Linked DNA regions of Tribolium castaneum. The protein of the gene in region 3 purifies or fractionates together with the protein of the main gene of each other region. This does not show direct contact. Links are inferred from orthologs where the notes say so. Each region holds a gene or a part of one and is shown on either strand. Other genes may lie near its edges.

The links.
Region 1: the proteins of Lkb1 (region 3) and CSN8 purify together in Homo sapiens (affinity purification with mass spectrometry; 3 studies listed by BioGRID and IntAct, with this or other methods). This does not show direct contact. The link is inferred for Tribolium castaneum from reciprocal best matches to the Homo sapiens genes STK11 and COPS8.
Region 2: the proteins of Lkb1 (region 3) and Cdc37 purify together in Homo sapiens (affinity purification with mass spectrometry; 8 studies listed by BioGRID and IntAct, with this or other methods). This does not show direct contact. The link is inferred for Tribolium castaneum from reciprocal best matches to the Homo sapiens genes STK11 and CDC37.

Annotation. Positions count from the first base shown.
Region 1 is NC_087398.1:6,311,061-6,317,525, reverse strand, and holds CSN8 (COP9 signalosome complex subunit 8), read right to left. Parts: upstream 2,717-6,465; 5' UTR 2,590-2,716; coding exon 2,533-2,589; intron 2,466-2,532; coding exon 2,395-2,465; intron 2,346-2,394; coding exon 2,164-2,345; intron 2,112-2,163; coding exon 1,861-2,111; 3' UTR 1,806-1,860; downstream 1-1,805. Other genes in the region: RabGGTa (geranylgeranyl transferase type-2 subunit alpha), read right to left, coding at 353-516, 566-895, 944-1,149, 1,195-1,430, 1,479-1,481; pcm (5'-3' exoribonuclease 1), read right to left, coding at 3,231-3,314, 3,361-3,633, 3,681-3,806, 3,853-4,059, 4,111-4,248, 4,296-4,376, 4,424-4,713, 4,759-5,065 and 4 more. UniProt on the Homo sapiens protein: Component of the COP9 signalosome complex (CSN), a complex involved in various cellular and developmental processes.
Region 2 is NC_087398.1:2,271,307-2,278,609, reverse strand, and holds Cdc37 (hsp90 co-chaperone Cdc37), read right to left. Parts: upstream 4,398-7,303; 5' UTR 4,271-4,397; coding exon 4,238-4,270; intron 4,191-4,237; coding exon 3,900-4,190; intron 3,853-3,899; coding exon 3,574-3,852; intron 3,499-3,573; coding exon 3,010-3,498; 3' UTR 2,897-3,009; downstream 1-2,896. Other genes in the region: Spase25 (signal peptidase complex subunit 2), read right to left, coding at 1,763-1,949, 1,995-2,153, 2,206-2,339, 2,387-2,452, 2,545-2,580; queuosine 5'-phosphate N-glycosylase/hydrolase, read right to left, coding at 4,707-5,603, 5,657-5,752. UniProt on the Homo sapiens protein: Co-chaperone that binds to numerous kinases and promotes their interaction with the Hsp90 complex, resulting in stabilization and promotion of their activity. Inhibits HSP90AA1 ATPase activity.
Region 3 is NC_087395.1:14,143,616-14,151,490, forward strand, and holds Lkb1 (serine/threonine-protein kinase STK11), read right to left. Parts: upstream 4,796-7,875; 5' UTR 4,450-4,795; coding exon 4,034-4,449; intron 3,965-4,033; coding exon 3,658-3,964; intron 1,933-3,657; coding exon 1,796-1,932; intron 1,750-1,795; coding exon 1,564-1,749; intron 1,511-1,563; coding exon 1,344-1,510; intron 1,298-1,343; coding exon 1,167-1,297; 3' UTR 899-1,166; downstream 1-898. Other genes in the region: Ifrd1 (interferon-related developmental regulator 2), read left to right, coding at 1-25, 75-318, 368-598, 645-722; glycogen debranching enzyme, read left to right, coding at 5,497-5,655, 5,741-7,207, 7,469-7,606, 7,654-7,875. UniProt on the Homo sapiens protein: Tumor suppressor serine/threonine-protein kinase that controls the activity of AMP-activated protein kinase (AMPK) family members, thereby playing a role in various processes such as cell metabolism, cell polarity, apoptosis and DNA damage response.

The DNA.
Region 1 (6,465 bases), on a different chromosome or scaffold from region 3:
CAGGAAGAAAATTAGGAAACAATCCGGATTAAAGGGTTAGTGGTCTGCAATACTTTCTTTAAAAAAATCTGTAATATTTCCAACCAATTTAATGAAACAATGCTAAAATTTAATTGTTTTTTGCTTCAGTAAGTCCCTTTAAGAAGATGATGCAATGGCACTTGCTACAAACTATAGCAGAAGATGCCATAAAGGTAAGTGCTTGTATTTTATCAGCAATTAGTTATTAGTATTTGCGTTACATGTAGGTATTTAAAGAAAACTCTGATATTATATTTTACCAATTTATTTAATGCTCAATAATCACAATTATGTATAGACTTAAGTATAAAAAATCACACAACTAGTGAACTCAATCAATTTTCGTCTCGACGATTTTTAGGCAATCCTCATAATGCCCTCGCCGCAACGGGTCCAGCTTGATTAATTCCTTATAGTAATGAACGTTATTTTCAACATGCTCCTTATCCAGCACTGTTATATTCCCTGATAACCAACATTTGGCCATAACAATCCCTAAGAAATTATTAAGAGTCTCAAATAATACAAAACAGCTCATAATTACATTTACAATCAGGCTCCAGTTCTTGCAATTGCTCTAAAGCCTCCAACAACTCATCTTTTTGAGTTTTCCTCAAATTTGGATTGCTTAAAACCCACCTCAAGTAAAACCAAGCACTTGTATCGATTGGATCGGTAAATACGGCATTCTGCACCAAAGTCAGCTCTTTAGCCACGCTTTCGGCGTCTGTCAGAAACTGCAACGTACTTCGGTAATGCCAGGAGGAGTAATTTGAGAAATTTATATTAATTCGTTCGGTTGAAAACGCGATTTCGTCAGTTAAAGTAATGCCAATTTTATTGACTAACAAGCGGCGGAAATCCCAACAATGAACTGCAAAAAACTCAGTTTGTTCTTTCCACGGGTTGTAAAACTACCTACAGTTTCTATCGTCCATGGATAAGTATTTGGTGCACAAATCAAATTCTCGTTGCCAGTTGGGCTTAGGGTGATGGTTTAAGATCCAATAGCGGTGGTGCCAGGAACCGTAAGACTTGGGATTTGAAAGAAGGCACTGTTCAGTCAATCTCAACTCATTCTCGCAAAACTCAATCGATTTCTCATCACCATTCTCCGCATCTGAGTGACTGTTAAATTGTGAAAAACAGAATTTAAGACTTGAAATTAGTTACTTCTCCTTCAGTTCCATTAAAGTTGCTTCTTTACGGTAATTCCACAAAGTGTAAATGTCGGGATTCACACTCAAGAGCTGGCCACTTAAAAGCAACGACGCCGGATCATAATTCTCCTTATTTCTCGTCGACAAGATCTGCTTCATTCCCATGCGATAAGCTACCAGTTTCTTCTGCTGCTCTTTCTGCTTTTGCAGCTTCTGTTCTTCGCTAGTGCGAACTTTGATCCTTCCATGCTGGAAAGGAATCGATTAGCAGTGCCTTTGGACGACCGAATGCTTTACCATTTTTGCGTTAAATTGGAAAATAAAATAAAAAATAAATTTTGGCCACCCAATGACACAAACGTCAAGCGTTTTTAACCTCAAATCCCAGGCGAGTTGTCAAATTGACAGGCTATTTGGCGGTTTTTATGAATTTTGTTCATTTCGTTTCGCTCGATTGAGGCCCCCATGGTGAAGCTGGAGCCATTTAGTCGCGTGTGAAAACTGACTGCGTGTAGGGCGACGCCTGTGGATTATTTTATATCTGAAGGTGTCACCCGTTATTTTAGGAAATTGTTTGGCATTACACCAAGTGGTTCTGCATTGTGTCAATTAAATGAGAAGGAATTTACTGAAATATTTATATTAGCTTACAATTAACTTATAAAAACAAAAATACAATTCAATTTTCGAGAAATGATACAAAATCTGTCAGTTTATACAATTGATCTTCACTACTTGTCTGGCCAGAAGTTTGTGGGGTTGGTCTAACGGGGTGAACCATCCTAGTGTCGGCTTCCACTTGCCAGCCCCTCTCCACACAAGCCGTTGCACAAATGTCTGGGGGCAAGCCCGTCATTGCAGAAACAGTGTCTAATGTTATTGAAGAATACGCTTGTGCTATTAAATCTACTGATCTATTTCTCACTCTGTCTGTAAAACGCAATCATTAGTGGTGTTTAGAGTGATCCAATTAGCAAGAAACCTTGAACTTGTTTCATAATATTCGCCACACCGTCGGACCATGTTACCGCGTTCAGAGCCTTGTAAATCCCCGGGAAGTCCCTCTTCCACATATGCTGGGCCACGGCCCAGATGTTGTTTAGCTCAGGAGTGGACGACTTCACCGAAGCCGGGATGCGTTTCCATAAATATTTTGCATTGCATCTACAACTAGCCTTAGCGGCAATACCGAACCAAAACCGGCGATACTTACAAGTCGTTTTCGTATAAATATATAGCTAGGAGTTGTTCGTAAACTTGAGGTGATGCTATACCGTTCTGTGCCTGAAAAAACGCCAAATTTGTAAAAAATTGGAAGTTTGAGGTTATATCTCTCGATGATGACTCTTACTTCTAACTCTTGCTTCTCTAAGTCTTCTGCTAATTTTTCAATGTTACTAGAAACCATTTTGTGAGGAGTTCTTTATAATTTGGTTTTAACAAATGTCTCGTTTTAAAATCATACACATTTTTTATTTACGAGTGCGAACAACCAACTGACCAAAACCCGACTGCGCCGGAAATGCACGAACGCTGCCGACGCCCGCGAAAAACGTCGCCATTTTTTTTAATTTCAAAAAATTCACAAAAGATCTAATGCCTAATTAGGTAATCACGTTTTCATCGAATTAATTTGAATAATAAAGCCCGAGTTTGTGTTTTATGAATTTATAAAATATCAAACACCACCCACTGTCGTTTCATTCCATGATGATAACCGGTCAATGTAAACCGCCCTTTATATGGACAAAAAATTAAAAAAGTTAAAATTCAAATATATTAATTAAAATAGCAATCTATCAATGTGTTCGTTAAATTTTTGACCACATTTTTGCTTGGTATCAGCAGCACAAAGGTAATGAAAGTCCACAGGCAAAGAAGGATGTGTATATTTACAGCATGAAAGCGTATATACACTCAAAAACCACATGTTTTGTTCAAGTTTTGTCCATAAATATTTCTTTAAAAAGGAATAGTTCAATCAACCTAAAGTGGAGGAAATTAAGACGGAACAAAATGTATTTTAATTCAGTCCATTAGTTCTTAAAATTACTGATTGAATCTAGCTGCAATTCTAGTTTTCCTCTGCTTTGCTGATTTATCCCGCCGGTCATTTCGCTCCAACTCACATGCCTGTAACAAGTCAGTCAACTTAAATTATCCCCATTGCAAGTTTCACCTTCGAGATTCCAGCGTTTTGGCTGTTACTTGAAACATCAGTTTTTTCTTGTTTTTTCCGCGGTGAATTTTCATTAACATTCTTATTCCCAGTGTTAAGATTCTTATTCCCATGAGTTTGCTTCTTTTTTAACGCTTGAAGCGGCACGAAATTGTGTGCTTTCGCACTCGTGTGCGGATTTCGACTAAAATTAGACTCGGGGTCCCTTCTACTGTAGTCCGTTTGGTGCGGGGGCGGCATTCTCTGATGCTGACTATGTCCACCCTGTTTGAACTTAAAATAAAAGATTTCGGCGTTTCTTTGACGATTTAGAGTGGTACCTGGTACGACTTATTCACAAAAACTTGGGATGGCATTTTGTTTTGTTGTTGGCGGTCTTGGACCCACTTGGTTGGGGGCACGGGAAATTCGGACGGAAGGCCCGTTTTTGCTGGCTTAGAACTCTTCTAGGAACATACTTTTAGTTTTATTATTTTTACGTAAAAATCTTACATTTTTTAGCATGTTTAAGGCATCTAGCGCCACATTTTCACTCGCTTCTTCCCGAGATTTTGCGGTTTTTCCCGATATGGATTTACCGCTAGGTAGAACAACTTGTGCAGCATATCCGTTGTTTTGTTCGAGGTAAAAATACCTCGGACAACCCCAAGCGTTTGACTGATAATAGCTTAATAAATTAGCGGTAGCGCTCGCCGCAGTCTAACAATTACATAAGCAGTGGAATTTTAATCGCAAAAATTGGTTATTTACCCCCATTTCCGGCTTTCGACTTGATGAAGTTGAACAATTTTGAACCGGCACATTTAATTTCGGATTACTCGATTTCTCGACATTATTATCAATGTTTAAAATCCGTTTTAAGAAATCAGTGTTTACCTCAGTTTTTGGCTGTAACCATTAAAATTAATATTTAATACTTGAAATAAATAACTTGCCTTGGCAGAATTTACAGTGTTTTGCGTAACATTATTGGGTCCCCTCATATGCCTGTTCTGATTGTTCATTTCTGTAGTTCTCTGCAGGACAGTGGGTTAGTTGGCGCAAAGCTCAGGAAAAAACATACCCAAGTGACTGCGTTTTCTTTATTAATCTTGGACCCCTGCATTTGCGTAAAGTCGCTCATGTAATAGAACGAATTTTTCATTTTTGGTTGATCGTAGGCAGGTATGGGCATTTGTGGCCTCACTGGATACTGGTTTGTGTTAAAGTGATTGTTTTTATACGGTGGCCCCATTAAACTAGGTTGTGCTTTATTAACCGAAGCAAAGGCAGAATTTTGCTGCCTGGCATACATATTTGTACTAATGTTGGTGTTTACGTTACGTCTTTCCTTAGCTAATGCCCTTAACGCACCTTGAATTTTTCAATCAAAGACGGAAAAGTTTCACCCTGAAATACCTGGCACTCCAGTTTTCTCCTCCATTTGCCTCCTGCCATAACTAATATTAATGAAAGAAATTTTCGACAGACGATAACCCCGCTGTTCGGAACAGTTCAAAGCCAATCCGCCCGCGAATGGTTTATCGAAAACAATATCATAGATTTCGTTTTCGTTTTTAAGGACGTTAGGTGACTTATGGATTGCAATGACGGTGCCTTTGAGGCCGAGAGGAACAGTAAAACCCTCACGAACATTGACAATTCGGTCAAATACTCGAGTTCGGGCAAGAGGGTCTGGGGCCAAATAGCCCGTCTGAATTTCAGGCTAAAATTATGCGGATGGAATTTTTACATCAAAAAATTGTCCGAAATTACCTTATACAGCAAATGTGGTTTAATTTGCATGACAATATTTTTGGGGGAATCTTTCAACTGATCGACTTCTTTTTCGATCTCCGCTACAACTTCCGGCTCCAAGACGGAACTTCCGCAAACACGCCTCTCAATATTGTGTACAGGCAACGACTTTAACCAAGTCTGAATGCTTTTCACCTTTTCGTCCCCACTGGAACATTGACAATAATTCTATTATTATTGTTTATAATTTTATTACTATTATTAATTATTAAAGACATTTTTTTAACGTCGCCCCGATTTTAGAGCAAACTTTTCCATTTGCTTGTTTTGTCAATGACAGCAAAACTATTTGATAAAATCGAAATATTTTGAAGAAAATTAATGTAAAATAATGTGGGGAATCGATTATCACGAGAAACTAAAATCTGTCAATAAGATTAGTCGTGAAAAAACATTTTTTTTAAGTAAAACTCGGCAATACTCACTCTTCGCCAAAAATCGCATCGGCGTCAAGATCGTCGTTGGAACCAGAGGCAAGAAAGCGAAAAACTTCTGGGAAATTGTTTATGTATTCCCTAACTAAATCCACAGCCTTACTGGTGTAAAACCAAACATTTTCGATTTTCCTCGTATAACCTGGCGTTTCCTGATTTTTCTTGCTAAATTTCATGTCCAAACCGATATTTACAGTTTTGAACAACCCCTCATTGGTCCTCGTTTGCACAAACAAAGAACCAGTAATTCGCGAAAACACGTAATTCGACATGGCCAACTGACACGCCGAATTTGCAAGACTCATGTAATTTCTCTTCAACTTTTCGTCGATATTTTGCGCTTTACTGAGGTCCGGTTCGGCTGTAACAGTCAGTGAGACTTTCAAATGGTTGTTCTTTAGCGACTCAGCACAGTCCACAATCTTTAAAGAAATAATTTAACCAAAAGTCAACAAAAAATTTATAAATTACTGTGCCCTGTGAGCCGTAATAAGGATTCGTGAGCGAAAAACAAATCGAATTGGGCGCAAATACGTCCGAAACAGTTTGAAAGTTCGTGCGAAGGTCGTCGTGAATCGCAATGTCAGTCACTATGCTTTGTAAGGGATAATTTGACTGGATTTGCGTGAATTGCCTCTCCAGTGTTGCTCTCATATTTGACGTAAAGACGTATTTTCGACCGGAGAGGAGGTTCACATGAACGAGAACGTCCGTATTTCCGAACTCAATACCCATTCGTTCCCTATAACTAGCAAAACGTGTAAATTTTGACCAACTTAAGCAATAAAAAACTTACTACTGCGACACTCCCTCTAGTTCACTCTCAAAGGTTGAATTTTTCGTCCGATCATCAACTTTATGGTTGTTGGTACCG
Region 2 (7,303 bases), on a different chromosome or scaffold from region 3:
GGTAATCACTGACGATTTTCATCAAAATAATTACTTTTTGTTTACACCTTTCGGAGAAGGACTTACGCGTGGTTTTTACATGTTTTAATCGAAAATTAAAACCAGAAAAAAAGAGGAAAGCACACTTCCTCGCTGTGTTGCTTTTTTTAGTTTAATTGTTCCGCGATTTTATACACATCGCACTACTTAGCTGCTTATCCGCTTTTCCACTCATGTGTTCAATAGGGTGAAAAGGTTGGCGTAAAATGGATATTCCGAAAGTTGTAACTTCTTTGTTCCAATAAGCCGAACTTTTGTAACAATCACACAAACTCAGTTAACTAAAAATTTTTAGACATAAATTAAATATTTTGGTTTAATTTTTTTATAATTTAAGAAGTAAGTCATCAAAGGATTCAACGCTAAAGTTTGAAGTTATGTTTCACCTTTACGTTCATCTCTTTTTCTCTCAAAACAAAAAGTACGTTTACAATTTGGCGCTTTTACGTACTTTTACCTTTTGCTGCATTATTTTCTTATTTCTCTCAGTTTTATGCTCCGCTTTACGTTTATACGTTTATATGTTCTCTCAATCTCTCATTTTCGTTCTCGTGTTGTTTCACTTACCTTTTCTATACTTTTTTTCTCAGAAAAATTGTTGCCGTGATCCGGGTGCGAACACCCGACCTCCACCGCCGAAAGTGGCGCTTATACCACTAGGCCACCAAGGCCCTGGGTACTGACCCTGTTTTGCAGATATTTTAACACAAACTTTTTAAATAAATTAACATTACAAACTATATAACTGCAATAATTCACCTAACACGCAAATACTTTCAGTTCAAAAGTCGGCGAATTAGCTCGAGAAAGCATTTTTTTCACTTTTTTCAGTTTAATTCTCTAATTTTTCACCAGATTCCATCAAAAGATACCTGACGTATAAGTCATCTAAAGATTCAACTAAAGTTTGCAGTTATATTTCACCTTTACGTTCATCTCTTCTTCTCTCAAAACAAAAAGTACGTTTACAATTTGGCGCCTTTACGTACTTTTACATTTTTGCCACATTATTTTCTTATTTCTCTCAGTTTTATGCTCCGCTTTACGTTTATACGTTTATATGTTTGTATGTTCTCTCAATCTCTTATTTTTGTTCTCGTGTTGTTTCACTTACCTTTTCTACACTTTTTTTCTCAGAAAAATTGTTGCCGTGATCCGGGTGCGAACACCCGACCTCCACCGCCGAAAGTGGCGCTTATACCACTCGGCCACCAAGGCCCTGGGTACCGACCGTCTTTTGCAGGTATTTTAACACAAACTTTTTAAATAAATCAACATTACAAACTATATAAATGCAGTAATTCACCTTAAACGCAAATACTTTGTATCACCTTATTAAACTTCTTAGGTAGTAAATTAAATAATTATAAAATTGTCTTGTGCACTGCTACGCGGATAAACGAGGTTCTACTGTAGTCATGTCCTCTTTTTTATTGTCTTGGGAGGAAGGTTTAGATTTTTGTGGAATTTTTCAATGGGAACAGAAACACGATTTTTACCTCCATAATTTTTATTTTTTCAATAGAAATCGATACAGTTATGTTGAAAATTTTTTGGCTGTGCGTTTCCGATAAATCGCAAACAGTTTTTGTTTTGTGCGTAGAAAGGCGTTTATGAACAAAAATAAAATAATCATTGTACTAAAAAAGTAATGTATTAGAGAAATTTACAACTCAAGTGGAATTATGCAATAAATGCCTTGCTGACATGACAATCTCGAGAGCTATTTATCTTTACGTTCATTCAACAGAGAATTGTGCAGCTTTGAAACCTCATTTTCCACAATTTCGTGCACTACACTACCGTTGACGTCCACAAAATTTGCAACACTTTTCTTTAAGCTTGTCTCCCGGAAAGCCCCAGTTTTACCATCTTTAAACGTGAGAACCAGTTTATATTTATCATCGTATCTAAAATAAATAATAAATTACTGTGGTTTTATCTTTGGGACCCACTTTTTTAAATATGAGCTGGCTTCCCATATGTTATCGCTTTTCTGACCGTCCTTCTTCTGCATACATACAGCGAAAATACCCTTTTCTACATACATGGTGTACAACGTTAGAATGCCCATCATTGTGAAATAAGTGCCCACACAAAATATTAATATAGGTCTGAAAAAACGCAAGTATTTATACAGAGGGGTGGATTATTTGAGACTCTTACTTAGAAAGTGGAAAGGGATATAAATAATCCCACAGTAAAGCAAACATGGCAACTCCTACTGCAATACTACAAATTACAAGGCGCCCATCCATCAATTTAAAATTTTCTACGTAATGATACTTTTTAGTAAGTACCTAAAAAATACTATTATAACAATGAACAGGGAGTCACGGGACCTCACTTCTTTTACTGCATCGTCTATGGCATTTTTCACAGCTGAACCGTCCCATTTATTTATTTTAACAGGCTGCAACAATAGGTTATGAAGCCAAATTTACAATTTTTTCCGTATTTAAATAACAAGCGTGCAAATTACGTGTTCATTCATTTAAACTGTACCTTATCATCCTTTTCTTTGCTTTCTTTTGGGGCCATAATCTTAACTGACTGGTTAAATTTTCAATTTTTTATGTGGTGTTGTCGTGTCTTGTTGTTGCGACACGTCAAGTGATGCGTCAGAACACGAAATATGGGAAACGCGAAAATACACCAACATCGGTGAACAAAAGTAACTACGCTTTTTCAAAAGAACGGGTTTTACCAAATATTTTTTTTAAATAACGTTGATTGTTATATCTGCCACTGAAACTGTAAATTCGTTTGGCTATTATTTTTTTCAAGTGGATGATTAATTTAAGTCAGTGAGAGAAAATGCGGGAATTGGGATGGGTATAAGAAAGTTTACGTCAAGTTTATAAAGTAAAGAAATTTATTAATCTTCAAGCATTCCTAATAAATTAATACAATAAATTTGCATTCTTAGGAAATAAAGGCTAAATAACAAAAATTGTAAAGCAAGTGACTTTAGGGTTTTGACTGCTCATCAGAAGGCCCAGCTTCTTCTTCTTCCTTCTTTTTGGCATCAGGTATCCAAAGACCCGCAGCAACACACCTCTTCATGTGATAGTTGGCCTCTTCTTCATCCATTTCCTTGATTGTGTCTTGCAACATTTGGATGTCTTGCGTCTCGAAACATTTTCGTAAATTCTCGGGAAGACTTTCCAAGACTTCAAGCTGATCTAACCCTCCTGGCCCTATCCTCGCTTTCCTCTCCTCCTCCTCTGCTTCTTTTATGGCCTCTTCAATCTTCTCAGCTGCGCGTCGTCTGATCCTCTCCTTAAACTGGTCTAATTCATCGTCAAACGATTTTTTGTAAAGAGGATCAGCTATTTGGATTTTGGAGAAAAAGGGGTCCACGCAGCCGCGAGGGTCGTAGTCTAATTGTTTGGCTAGTTCTAGGATGTACTGCATGCAGATGGTCTGGTGCGCCACGTGCTCCATAAGGTCATGTTTCTAATTAAAAGAACAATACATAATTTACCCCAACAACTCAGTGTTGCCAATATACATTTTTTGCCACAATCTTACCTCTTCCATTTCTAAATTGATGCACCAGATGACGAGGTAATTAGCTGTGTCTTCGCAAACCAATTCAAGGTGGTCCCTGAGAAAAGCCCGAGAGTCTTCATAACGTCGCAACATTCCAAAGTGCTTCAAATTCTTCTCGTTTTCTTTTACAAAATTTTTCATGCGACTTTCCTTCTCTTCATCCGTTAATTGTTCGTCCTTCGGTCTCGGAGCTTTCTTATTAATAACAGTCTTTGCAAAACCTGGCTGACTAATTGTGTCCACATTCCACGGGGCCATCTGTAAATCACTAAATAAACATTAGAAGAACTAACATTCGTACAAACTTTTTCTTTCTTCTCGTGTTCTTCCTGTTTCTTCTTAATCGCTTCCATTTCCTTCTCCAGCGCGGCCAGAGCGTCCTTAAGTTCCCTCAAATTCGCATCTCCGGCCTTCTCGGCTTCCGCCAGCTTCTGCTTGGCTTGCGAGACCTTCTTAGCATTTTCCTCCCTCTTTATCTGGATTTCTTCCGCTTCTTTCTTCATTTCTTCCATGCGCTCAACTCTGGCCTGGTGCCTCCACCGGAAAAGTGAAGGGGTGTCAATATTTGGATGCGTCTCATCCTCATCGTCGGAAATCTGCAAAGCACCACCTAACCTCATTTTTTCCTCCCAGACTTCACTACCTCAATATTCTTCCACTTGCTGTAATCGACCATGACGCCAATGCGAATTTTGATTCCTCCAAGAAAATACAACAATAAAACACTTGCACTTTTGAAATAAACAACAAACGTCACTTTGCTGCTCCTCCGCCCTCTGGCTGGCTTTCGCGAAACGTCGGCAGAGGATCATGGGTAGGGAGACGAGGGCAAATAAAATTCCAGAATATTCTTTCAATCATAATCTAATACTTTAACTTTAAAAACATTGACACGATTAATCTTAAAAATTACTGATATGAAATAAAACATGACAGCATAGTTGGCAATGAAAAAGTACGGTTCGGTTTGTAACAATTGTAACCATGACTACCACCAAAATGCCATATCAAAGTTTCATGGCCAACCGCTCCCTGAAATTTTCGATTAATTACTAATAAATTAGCACATTGATTCGGTCAACTCCAATTTTAACTTGATATTGTCGTTCGATTTAGTAATAAATGGAGAACGTTTTGTGGAACGGCAACTTCTTCTCCACGATTTCCTTGTTATGTTCGCGTCTGAAGTCCCACAAGAAGTGATCGATCAAAATGGCATTGATTTTCGTATCAGTTAGTTTTTTATTGGCATGTTCTTTTAGCAGCTCGACCGCATGGATGGAGCAAGCTCTGATCTCCACTTCGTCCTCTTCCCCGTTTTCGAGAATTTTGTTGTCTTGCAGTTTCTTCTTCAAATCTTCGCTGTACTCAAACACCCCGAAATATAGGAGAGATTGTGGGATTCTATAATCCGCAAACATTGTTATTTCATCGATATCTTTAAAGTGCCCAAGTCCTTCGTTCTTGAAACAGGCCCAAATGTCGCCAATTAAAATCTGCGCCCGCTTGTAAATCGCAATTTTCTTGTCTTTGTAAGTCGCTTCGTCCTTGAAGCACTTGAAATTGTTGACGATTAGGTCCAGAAGGGCCACAGCGCTCTTGTCAGCCTTTTTCACGCAATTTTCAAACGAACCGTCGAAAGTTTCAAGAAGGACGTTCCCAACTTCGTGCAAGCATTTGACGCGTTCCTGGAGGAGTGGAATTGGGACATCGTTGTCGCTTCTGAATATTTTCGCAAGGTCTTTTTCGGACACTTCAGAGTAGTATTTCGAGTTCAAAATATCCACTTTTTCCTTCACGGCTCGATTAATAGCCGCACAAAGGGCAAAATAACCAGTGTAGCCCTCCACAGTCCAGCCAGCTTCGGTTTCTAAGTGCCAGAAGCAAAAATTCAGAGTGTCCACGACAAATAACCAGTCAAGGGCTTTGGGATCGTCGGATTTTGGGTGCAGTTTCACTTGACTGAACTTCTCACTGGACAATTTCCCGCTTTCGATCTCGCTAACCAACTGGAGATAACAGTTAAAATGTGCCTTTTTTCGCCTGATACGCACGGACTTACCAAATCCCCCAGTTTTTTCACACCTTCGTCTTTGATTTTCACGTTTTTGCTAAGCGAAGCAACGAGTTTGCCTGACTCACGAGGTGATAAAGCCATTTTCTCTTGATATGTTGTGAAAACGCGGAGCTTGTAAAATCACAGAACAGTAAAGGTTAAGAAGTGATAATTCCCTAGTAAATCACTGGCAACACGAGAATACAGCGCCTCTGGTGCTGAAGTGCGTTACTACCACGGTAAAGCGCCACGTTTGAATAAATTCCTTTTATATTCTGTTTTTTATTATTTTTATCTTACAAGTTTTATTGCAAATTGTTTAAAATAAAAAAAAATATTTTCATTTTAAACGAAATGAAAACATTTTATATTTATTTTAAACAAAATTTGCAATGAAACTTACAAAAAAAGTTGTTTTGGGGTAATAAAACACAGATTTTGTTAACATTTTTATTGCACACTTGAGTAACATAACAAATTAAATTTTTCAAAAAATTAAAGTATTGTATTATTTCTTAATTATACAAAAATTATCAAAAAATTGAATCAGTCAGTGTTGGCATGTTTTGCCTGTCTGCTCCAGACTTAAAACAAAATAAGGCCTTCTTTGCAATGACTTTTACCTTGTCTGTCAGCAAACAGTTGCCCGCGCTACGACCACGAGGAGGTACATGCAGTGCACTGACACACTCGAGCGCAAATAAGAAACTTAAAAGTAAATTCTGAAATAACCTAAATAGAGAATTCTAAAAAACATCAAAAAACTTAACAAACAATTTTAAACTATATAAATTAAAACAGAAATATTTCCTCCAAAAGAACTATGTACAAATAAATTAAAAAAAAAATACATTTCTTGTTTAAATATATATCTACAAATCACAGCCTTCTATGTACAAATCACAGTCTATTTACAAATCACAGCCTTCGGAATTTTTTCATTTTTTCTATATGACCGGTGGTAACGGATTTTGCTTTCTGCTTGTCTCTTGTGTATTTATATATTAAAAAGGTGGTACACCTATTTAATATTAAATTATCACAGTCGTGAGTCATGCAATAGGCTGGCCCAAAATCAAACTGAGATTTATAAATTTCTTTGAACCTGTCTTCCAACATTGCGTGGTGAGCATAGGTATCAAGGAAACTGTATAAACAGTCATGAATGTTTTGAACAAGCCACATTACATGTTCACTAGCATACTTCAGTCGCCGCTGATTATCGTCAAATTCCTTGAATGAGACTAAGAGATGGTGCTCTGTCGGCTCCTCAGAATATAGTTTATTCTGACAGTTTTCGCAATCAGGAACCTCAATTTCCTTCAATACATAGCCAGCAACATAAGCCAAACCTTGACTGTCTTCACAGCAAAGGTCTGGTTGCTGTAATGTAGAAAAGTCCACTGAAATTTCTGGATGCGATTCCTGCTCTCTTTCCTCATTCCCTGAAAAGTTCAATAATCTCCCCAAGTTTTCCAAAGGCGTGCACTCGTCATCCTCACAATTACCACAGCCTTTTGGTGAAACCAAATTGTTAACAACTACGGTTTTCAAGGCAGCTGTGAACTGGTGGCATGTGGGATTCGTGTTTGCAACACCGTGCTGGCGAATACTACAGAAAAGATTCTCCAAGGGGTCTTGGTTTAGACCCCT
Region 3 (7,875 bases):
ATTTAATGGACAGCAAAGCCTTACCGTAATTAATTAAATTCTAACAATAGGAAAACATTAAATCCGACTTGTAGATCGCTAGATCAGTTATCTGAACTGTTGGAATCGCCGCACCTAGAAGTCCGTTTAACGGCAGGTGAAGCCCTAGCGCTGATTTTTGAAGAAGGGAGGAAAGACAGTGCGGATTTTGCTGACGACTTTGCAGTCTATATCACAGATGTGATTAAGAAACTGGCCACGGATTCGCATAAATATCGCGCGAAGAAGGACCGCAAACAACAGAGGGCCACGTTCAGGGACATTCTTTCATACATTGAAGTAATTTATTTATTTTTTTCAAATAATGAAATGATTAAAATCATTTTAGGACGATGTTGTTTCCGACGTGACTGTGAAGTTTGGTCGGGAAGTCCTGATGTTGGACACGTGGGCGCGTAGGAAACAGTACGACGCCTTGTGTACCGTTTTAGGGCCTGGAATTAACATCCATTTGGGGGAGAATGACCTTCTGAGGGACATATTTGAGATTACAGCCCCCATAGTGCAGCCACATGACACACCAGCGCACGCACAACAACACATGGAGAGGTGTCGCAAGGTAAAGGTTTTGTTTGTTTAAGTTAGGTGTTAATTTGTTTTTTCAGCGATTACTTAATGCCGCAGCGTTTAAAGCAAGGACGATATCACGGGCGAAAAATCGGGACAAGCGATCAGACTTTTAATGCATATTATGGGATATTTATGTATTTATTTTAGCTCAATTATATACCGACAGTAGCCGATTTTGTTTTTATCTGTAGCAGTAGCGAGAATTTGTTGTCATTAATTATTTGAAATTTGTAAATACGTTTATGAATAAATTTACAAATTTAATGCGCGTTTGATTAATCAAGGGAAATTACCAGTTAACGTAATTATTTATTTCTTCAATTTTTTCTCACAATAACTTACATATGGCACTCTCATGCTGTTCCACTGGTGTTTCGAACCGAATTACTGATCGGATTAAACACCCACTATTTGTAGACATCAACAAAAATAAAAAACATTTGAGATTTAAACATCTATAACAATATAAATTTGTAAACAATGCAACAACGATTTAATGCGATCAGTAATTTCGGAAAATGTTAATAACAATAAATAAAAATAATACAAAAGTTTTGTCAAGATTGCTTACAACCAGGGATTTTTCTAACTGCGATACACGAAATGGGCTTCTTCCATCTACGCTTGGAACTTTGGTTGGTTTGAGCACTTCCGTTATTTTGTTCAGCTTCGCGTTTCGTAATTTCTTCTAAAAGCAATTTTCAAAACACAGAAACACACTGAGACAATCAAACCGTTAAGCTCCCGTTCGGTGAAATACTCGACGTTATTTGCCGTGTCCGAAGTGTCGTAATAATGATCGAAAAGATATGGTAAAACAGTCATACAGTGAAACTCGTCGTTTCGCAAGGGCGGGATGGGGACAGGGGGCGCGGTGACGGGCGGTCGGCGCGAAAACCACCTAAAATGTATCAAAAAACCAACTTCAAATAAACAAACTCCGCCAAAAGTTACATGTGTTGCCTAATTTGTTGCAAACTGAGCCTCTCCTCGGGATCCTTCCTCAACATCCCTAGCAACAAATCCCGCAAGGGATCTTCGATATAATCCGGTATTGTGAATTCACCTTTCCCTATATTTTCGAATAATTTATAAATACTATCACCTTCGAAAGGGTATTCCCCCGTTACGAAATTGTATCTACAAGAGAAAATTATTTTCGGAAGTGGGAGAATTGGAGTTTTACAGTGACACACCGCTGCTCCAAACGTCCACTTTGAAGCCAGGGAATGAATCTAAACCGTTGGCGATCTCGGGGGGCTGAAAAGCCGGCGAACCTTGGCCTTGAACACACGTGTCGTCTATTGCGAAAAAATCGATTGTCTGAAAAATGGTAAAAATTATAATTTGAGACGAAATCTATCAGAAGATTTAGTTCATATAATAATTTAAGGGTATAATACACGTTCAGGATTAAAAAAATTGGCCAAATAATATTTTAAAGGCCGGAAGATTATCGAATTACGATGTTATTTTGGCACTTTTTTAGTCAAAAAACTAATTATTACGCAAAAATTACGTTACTTTTGTCTTGTGTTCACCTAGAAATGCAATTATTTAATAATTGAGTTAAAAATACGACGGAGTATTAATTCGAAATTGAGTAATTTTTTTACTTTGATATAATCCTCTACAAAATTATCTAGGGAAAGTGTGATAGAAGACTCCCAAAAGTCCTCACTAGTTTCAAAGTTACAATATTAAAAAAAACTAGAGTTCAAATTGATGAAAAAATCTTTAAAATACAATAACTGAAAGAATTAAGTTAAGTTGAATTGAAAAATCAGTTCAGTGCTACTATAGATGTTCATTTAGTTAATTGACAATGTCTTTAAACGATTAAAGTTTCATAATTTAGCACGATAATAATAAATAACTTTCAATCTTAAAATTGCAGTTGCACCAATTACTACTAAACTTTTATTTTCAATTTTTAAGCGACACCAATAACGTGAAATCTTTGTACCATACCGAAGATGTTTTGAATTTTCTTTCTTTATTTTTTTTGAAGACATCAAACTAATTTTTTAATTGTACAAAGAATAAGCCAAGATTTATACAATTTTAAGCTGCATTTATTTACAGTGCAGTTGAATTGACAGTTAATCAAAGCTTTTGTATTAAACCACACTGGTTCAGTTAGGCCTTAGCACTTTTTTAGCTAAAAAATCACTAAATCGTGTCGGAATGAAATTACGATTACCTTATTCAAGCGGTTTCGTCATTAGGACGATAATTGTGTTATTTTTGTTCTTTTCGGGACGACTTTTTAACTATCTTACGATAAGGAAATTTGAATGACATTTATTTTTAAACAAAGGCGTGACCTGTTTAATTATTTATAGAAACATTTTATTGCATAAAAATAAATTATGTATTTGGACCAGTTGTCTTATTTGTCGGTTACGTAGGTAATTGACAAAAAATTCAATTTCGTGAGAGTAACTCCGACCCAAAATAGATTTGGTTTATTATTAACACTCGTATCAATTTTGAATGAATAAACACAGATACAAGAAATCATTTAACAACGGAATGTCTAAGTGCGTTTTGTATCAATCATGAGTTCAACATGCAGTAAAATAATGAAAACTGTATAAATAAAGCGAAGTGAGGTCACTTCCAAGTGAAAAAATTTAATCACTTTATTTGGTGTGGCTTGGTGTACTCATAGGACAACGCCTCCTTATCCAAAAATCTGTAACCTTTGACCCTGCACCGAACAGGTCATTTCATTTTCGTGTCGAATCAGTCTCAATCATGTTCCTAGCTGCAACTTTGTTCCTGGTAGTACTCCTGACCCTGATAGTACTTTTAAGGTAAAACATTTTATTCTTATCGGTTATCGAGTTATCGCCCCAGCAAAATTTCTTGCTGCCTTTTTTCGACTAAGAATTTTAACTGTCCATGTGTTTGAACGTGTGTGTCTATTTTAACTAATTGCGACAAAATAGTTTATTAATCATGAGTGAGGCCGTCAGGAGGATTTGCGAGACCTTATGCACGCTTCTGGAGAGGTATTTTTCCCCTTTTTCGGTTCTTACTCACCTCGGCGACGCCTAAGTCCGAGATTTTCAACTCTCCCTCCAACGTGAGGAGCAGGTTCCCCGGCTTGATGTCCTTGTGGACGACCCTCTTGCTGTGCAGGTACTCCAGGCCGTCGATCAGCTGGATGAAGTAGCCGTGGGCCTGGTACAGGGGGAATTTTTTGTAAGGCGTGGACTCCAGCATGCCCTGGAGGCTGCCCACGCAGAACTCCATGATCAGATACATCTTCTGCTTCTCCTCGTTGAACAGCACGTCGACTAGACTGATAACGTTCTTGTGTTTGAGCGACTTAAGTAATTTGATTTCTCTGAAATTGTTACAGGTTAAAATCGCAAATGGCGGCCTTGGTGGCTTGGCTCGTGGGAGCGGTGAGTACCTTTCCACGTTTTGTACTCCGTTAGGTATCCTCCTCAGCTTGCGCTGTTTCAAAATTTTGACCGCGCGCCGGCACAAAGTGTCCGAGTCTAGCATTTCCTTCACTTTGCCGTACGAGCCCTCGCCCAGCAGGTCCCCCATCACGTACTTCCCGATCATCTTCAGACGCTTCTTGGCCTGGTAGATGACCTGCTCGGAGGACACGCGGTGGAAAAAGTTGCTGATGTTGCCCACGTCGAGGTCGTCCGACAGGTTGTTGCTCCAGGTGTGCGCGTCCTCGTCCAGGTCCCCCAGCACCGGGAACTCCTCGCTGTTAACGTCGAAAACGCGGTTGGTTAGCTCCACTTCCCCGGGCTCGGGATTCAGCTCCTGCTCGTCACTGTCACTGTTGGTTATGTTGCACATTTTCCTGTCCATAATTAACAGCCAACAGCGGGTTTCTCTCAGTTTTGCTTCGCTTTCAATCAGTTGAGACACTCGCACCTCATGTCATTTTCAATATTTTTGTTGTCCAACCAACAGCTGTTCCTAGGGACTTTGGCGGCTGTCGCGGCGCTGTTACATAATGCTGGAGCGGGGCCACAAACACCGATTTTACGAATTTTACGCACAAAATCAATTAACACATCCTTTCCAACACCCGAGTGATTTTTTTGCGCCGAAAACACGTGATTTCCCGGCTTTGGCCCAAATTTTTACACCAACTGCGCCAACCAAAAGTCACCAAGTTTAAATTCTTTCCCAATTTATCAAATTATTCAAAAAATGCGCTCGTGTCCGGCAAAAATACAACAAAAACGTAATTCTAACGATAACGGGAGATAAAATACCGTATTTGTTTACTCAAGTTTGGTAAAATTAAATCTGAGATTAGATTAACTTTTTTGTTTTTTTTTTTTCATAATTAAAATTATATTAAATCACTAGTTATTTAAAAGAGGTGTTACTCGACAAATTTGATTCGAAGGCAAATTTCGTATATTTTTTTTCTACATGTCAACAAGTGGCTGTCATCTCAATGTCACCTTGACAGTTCCAAATAAATATCTCCTCCCGCTCAAAATCTCAATTTTGTGAGAAAAACCTGCATAAAAGTAAGTGACAACAATTTTATTCAATGTTTGTGTTAAAAAGACACCAATTTTTACAATTTGGCAAGTTTTAAACCCCAAATTGCTGTTTTTTTTTCTCGTTCTTTAATCACAACTTTACGAGTGTTGTAATTATTATTATTAATGAGTAATTAATTGGAGAAGTAAGGTACAGAATGTTTACATCGCTTACTTCCTTATCGTGTAATTAACCAATAAAATCGAATTTATGTAACCTATGGTCTTTGGTTATTTTTATTGAATTTCGCCTCAATTGCGATTATACGACTTAAAAATCTATTACAAGTAGCATTTAATATAATTGGACGTTAGTAAACAATGTTTCAGTCATGGAAAACCGCTCGGTGTAACAATGAAAATGTTTTCCTGCCTTTGGAAACTTTATATGGGAATCCTTCACTTAATCTTGTTTTTCCCGAGCAAAAGTCTGGCTATTGCGTTTCATTTAATAAGATACGGGTTATTGTGGTGTGTTTTAATATTGCTAAGCTTGTCACGGTATTTGGAGCAAGTGAGTTTTATTTTTAAATGTCCTTGCTATAAATTCATTTAATTCTCCACAAACGCCCCGAGCCTTCAGTTTGCAATTTTTCCAGATATCCGGCGGTCGAGGCGAAGCAAACGACCAAGACCAAAATAAGGAAAAATCGAAGAAGAAAGCGAAACCCAAACCGAAGAAAAGTCCACTACGGGAGCCCTCCTTCAGCACAACACTCACAGACCCGATTGAGGAGGTCATAGAGGAGATATTGGACGAAGAAGTGAAGTCACCCAAACCGAGAAAACGAAATAAGAAAAGCAAGCCGAAAAGTAGCGACGACGAAGTCGGTTTCTCGTTTTTCAAAAGCAATTCGTCGGAAAGTTTGCCAAAATTTGAGGAAAATTCTGCAGCTAAGTTGAGTCCCGAGGTCGTGTCAGATCCACCAGAGGACTCACTCGGGTTTTCCTTTCTCCCCGTCAGGGATAAGAAACAGAGGAAAAATCAGAAAGTGAAAATCGACGATTTGCCCAAATCGACGCTCATTGAGCATTTCAAGCACAACAAAAGGGCCAAGAATGAGTTTGTTGTGATTGAAAAGGTTGAAGTTGAAGATAAGCCTGAAAATTGTATCGAAATCGTCAATAAAGAAACCGGGAAAAAGGTTTATCTTGAGGCCAAAGAGAGCAAAAAAGTACACTCGAAGATATCGTACGCCAGCGTCGCTTCTCAGCGTTTTGAGGAAAGCTTGGAACAGTTGAGGAGGGAGGAGGAAAGTAAAGCTGATTCTGGAATTAACGGTGGTTCAAAACGCCAAGTTGAGGAAGAGTTAGCGACTCAAATTCAGGGTGAAGAACGCAGACTGGTCGATTTACTTGACCAAGACCACAAGCCCGGTGGAGAAATAGCCGAAAATTCTTCGTTTGTGGAGTTTAATGGGGGTCTTGGAGAAATAACCGCACCTATTGAAGAACCAAAAACAGCCCCTGGTGAAGAAATAGTAGAACTGATACAAAGCATTGTTGACACTGTCACTAGTGAAACAGCGTCTTCCGAACTTTTGTCTGAAGAAATTTCTCCCTTCAAAATGTCTTCCGGTACCCAAGTGCGCGTTCTGACCCTAAACGATAAAGAACACCAAGACTCGACTCTTTACCGCCTGCAGAAAAACTGGATTATTCAGTTCCGTCTCGGCCCTTCCTTACTCGGGCGGAAAGTGTCGCTTTACTGCAACTACCCTCAAACCGGCGACTTCAAGCGACACTCCTACGCCTTGCTCAAGTGGCAACAAGACGAAGGCTGCCAGCATTCCGACGACACGGCCCTTCTGACTGAATTAACACTCGAAAAGTCCGGAAGTTTTCACTACTTTTTCACCTACGACGACCAGATCGAACATCAAGGCTCCGGTTTTTTCCTCGTAGACCCGGTTTTGAAATACGGGAAAAACGAAAAATTGCCGCTGGATTGTATTCAGTGTCAGACTGTGTTGGCTAAGGGCTTGGGCCCGTTTGACACGTGGGAAAATAAACTACAAGTTGCCAAAGAATCGGGCTATAACATGGTCCACTTTACGCCAATTCAGGTACATTGTGTCTTTTACCAAATAATTCTCTCTGCCCTCTACTGCTTACTTAGTTGTTGAATTTTTTTTAACTTTTTAACGGGTTTTTCATAATTGCATAATTGGTCTAATTTATTAAAAATGAGATAACTGTGGTTTGTGGTCAACAATCTTACCGCCCTTTGCTCGTTTAATATCAAAGTCATCACCTTTTGGAGAATAATTCACTCATAAATAATTATTGTTATGGGCATTTTTTTACAAAATTAAACCCTGTCTTAGGAATTAGGAGCTTCGAATTCGTCGTACAGTCTTAGCGAGCAGTTGAAGATCAACCCATTGTTCACTAAACAAAACGGCAGTGAAACAACGTTTGAGGACGTCAGTGACTTGATTAAGAAAATGCGCCAGGAATGGAAGGTACTTATGCCCATTTTGGGACCAAAATTTGAGCACTGATTTTTAAGGTGGTTTCAATTTGCGATATTGTTTTGAACCACACGGCCAACGAAAGTGCCTGGCTTAAGGAGCACCCGGAGGCCACCTACAACTGTCAAAACTGCCCCTATTTGCGGCCTGCCTACCTGCTAGATGCCGCCTTTCACCAGTTTTCCTTGGACGTGTCTAAGGGGGTGTACGAGGACAAAGGGATTCCGCCCCAAGTCTCAACAGAGGAACACTTGCACTCC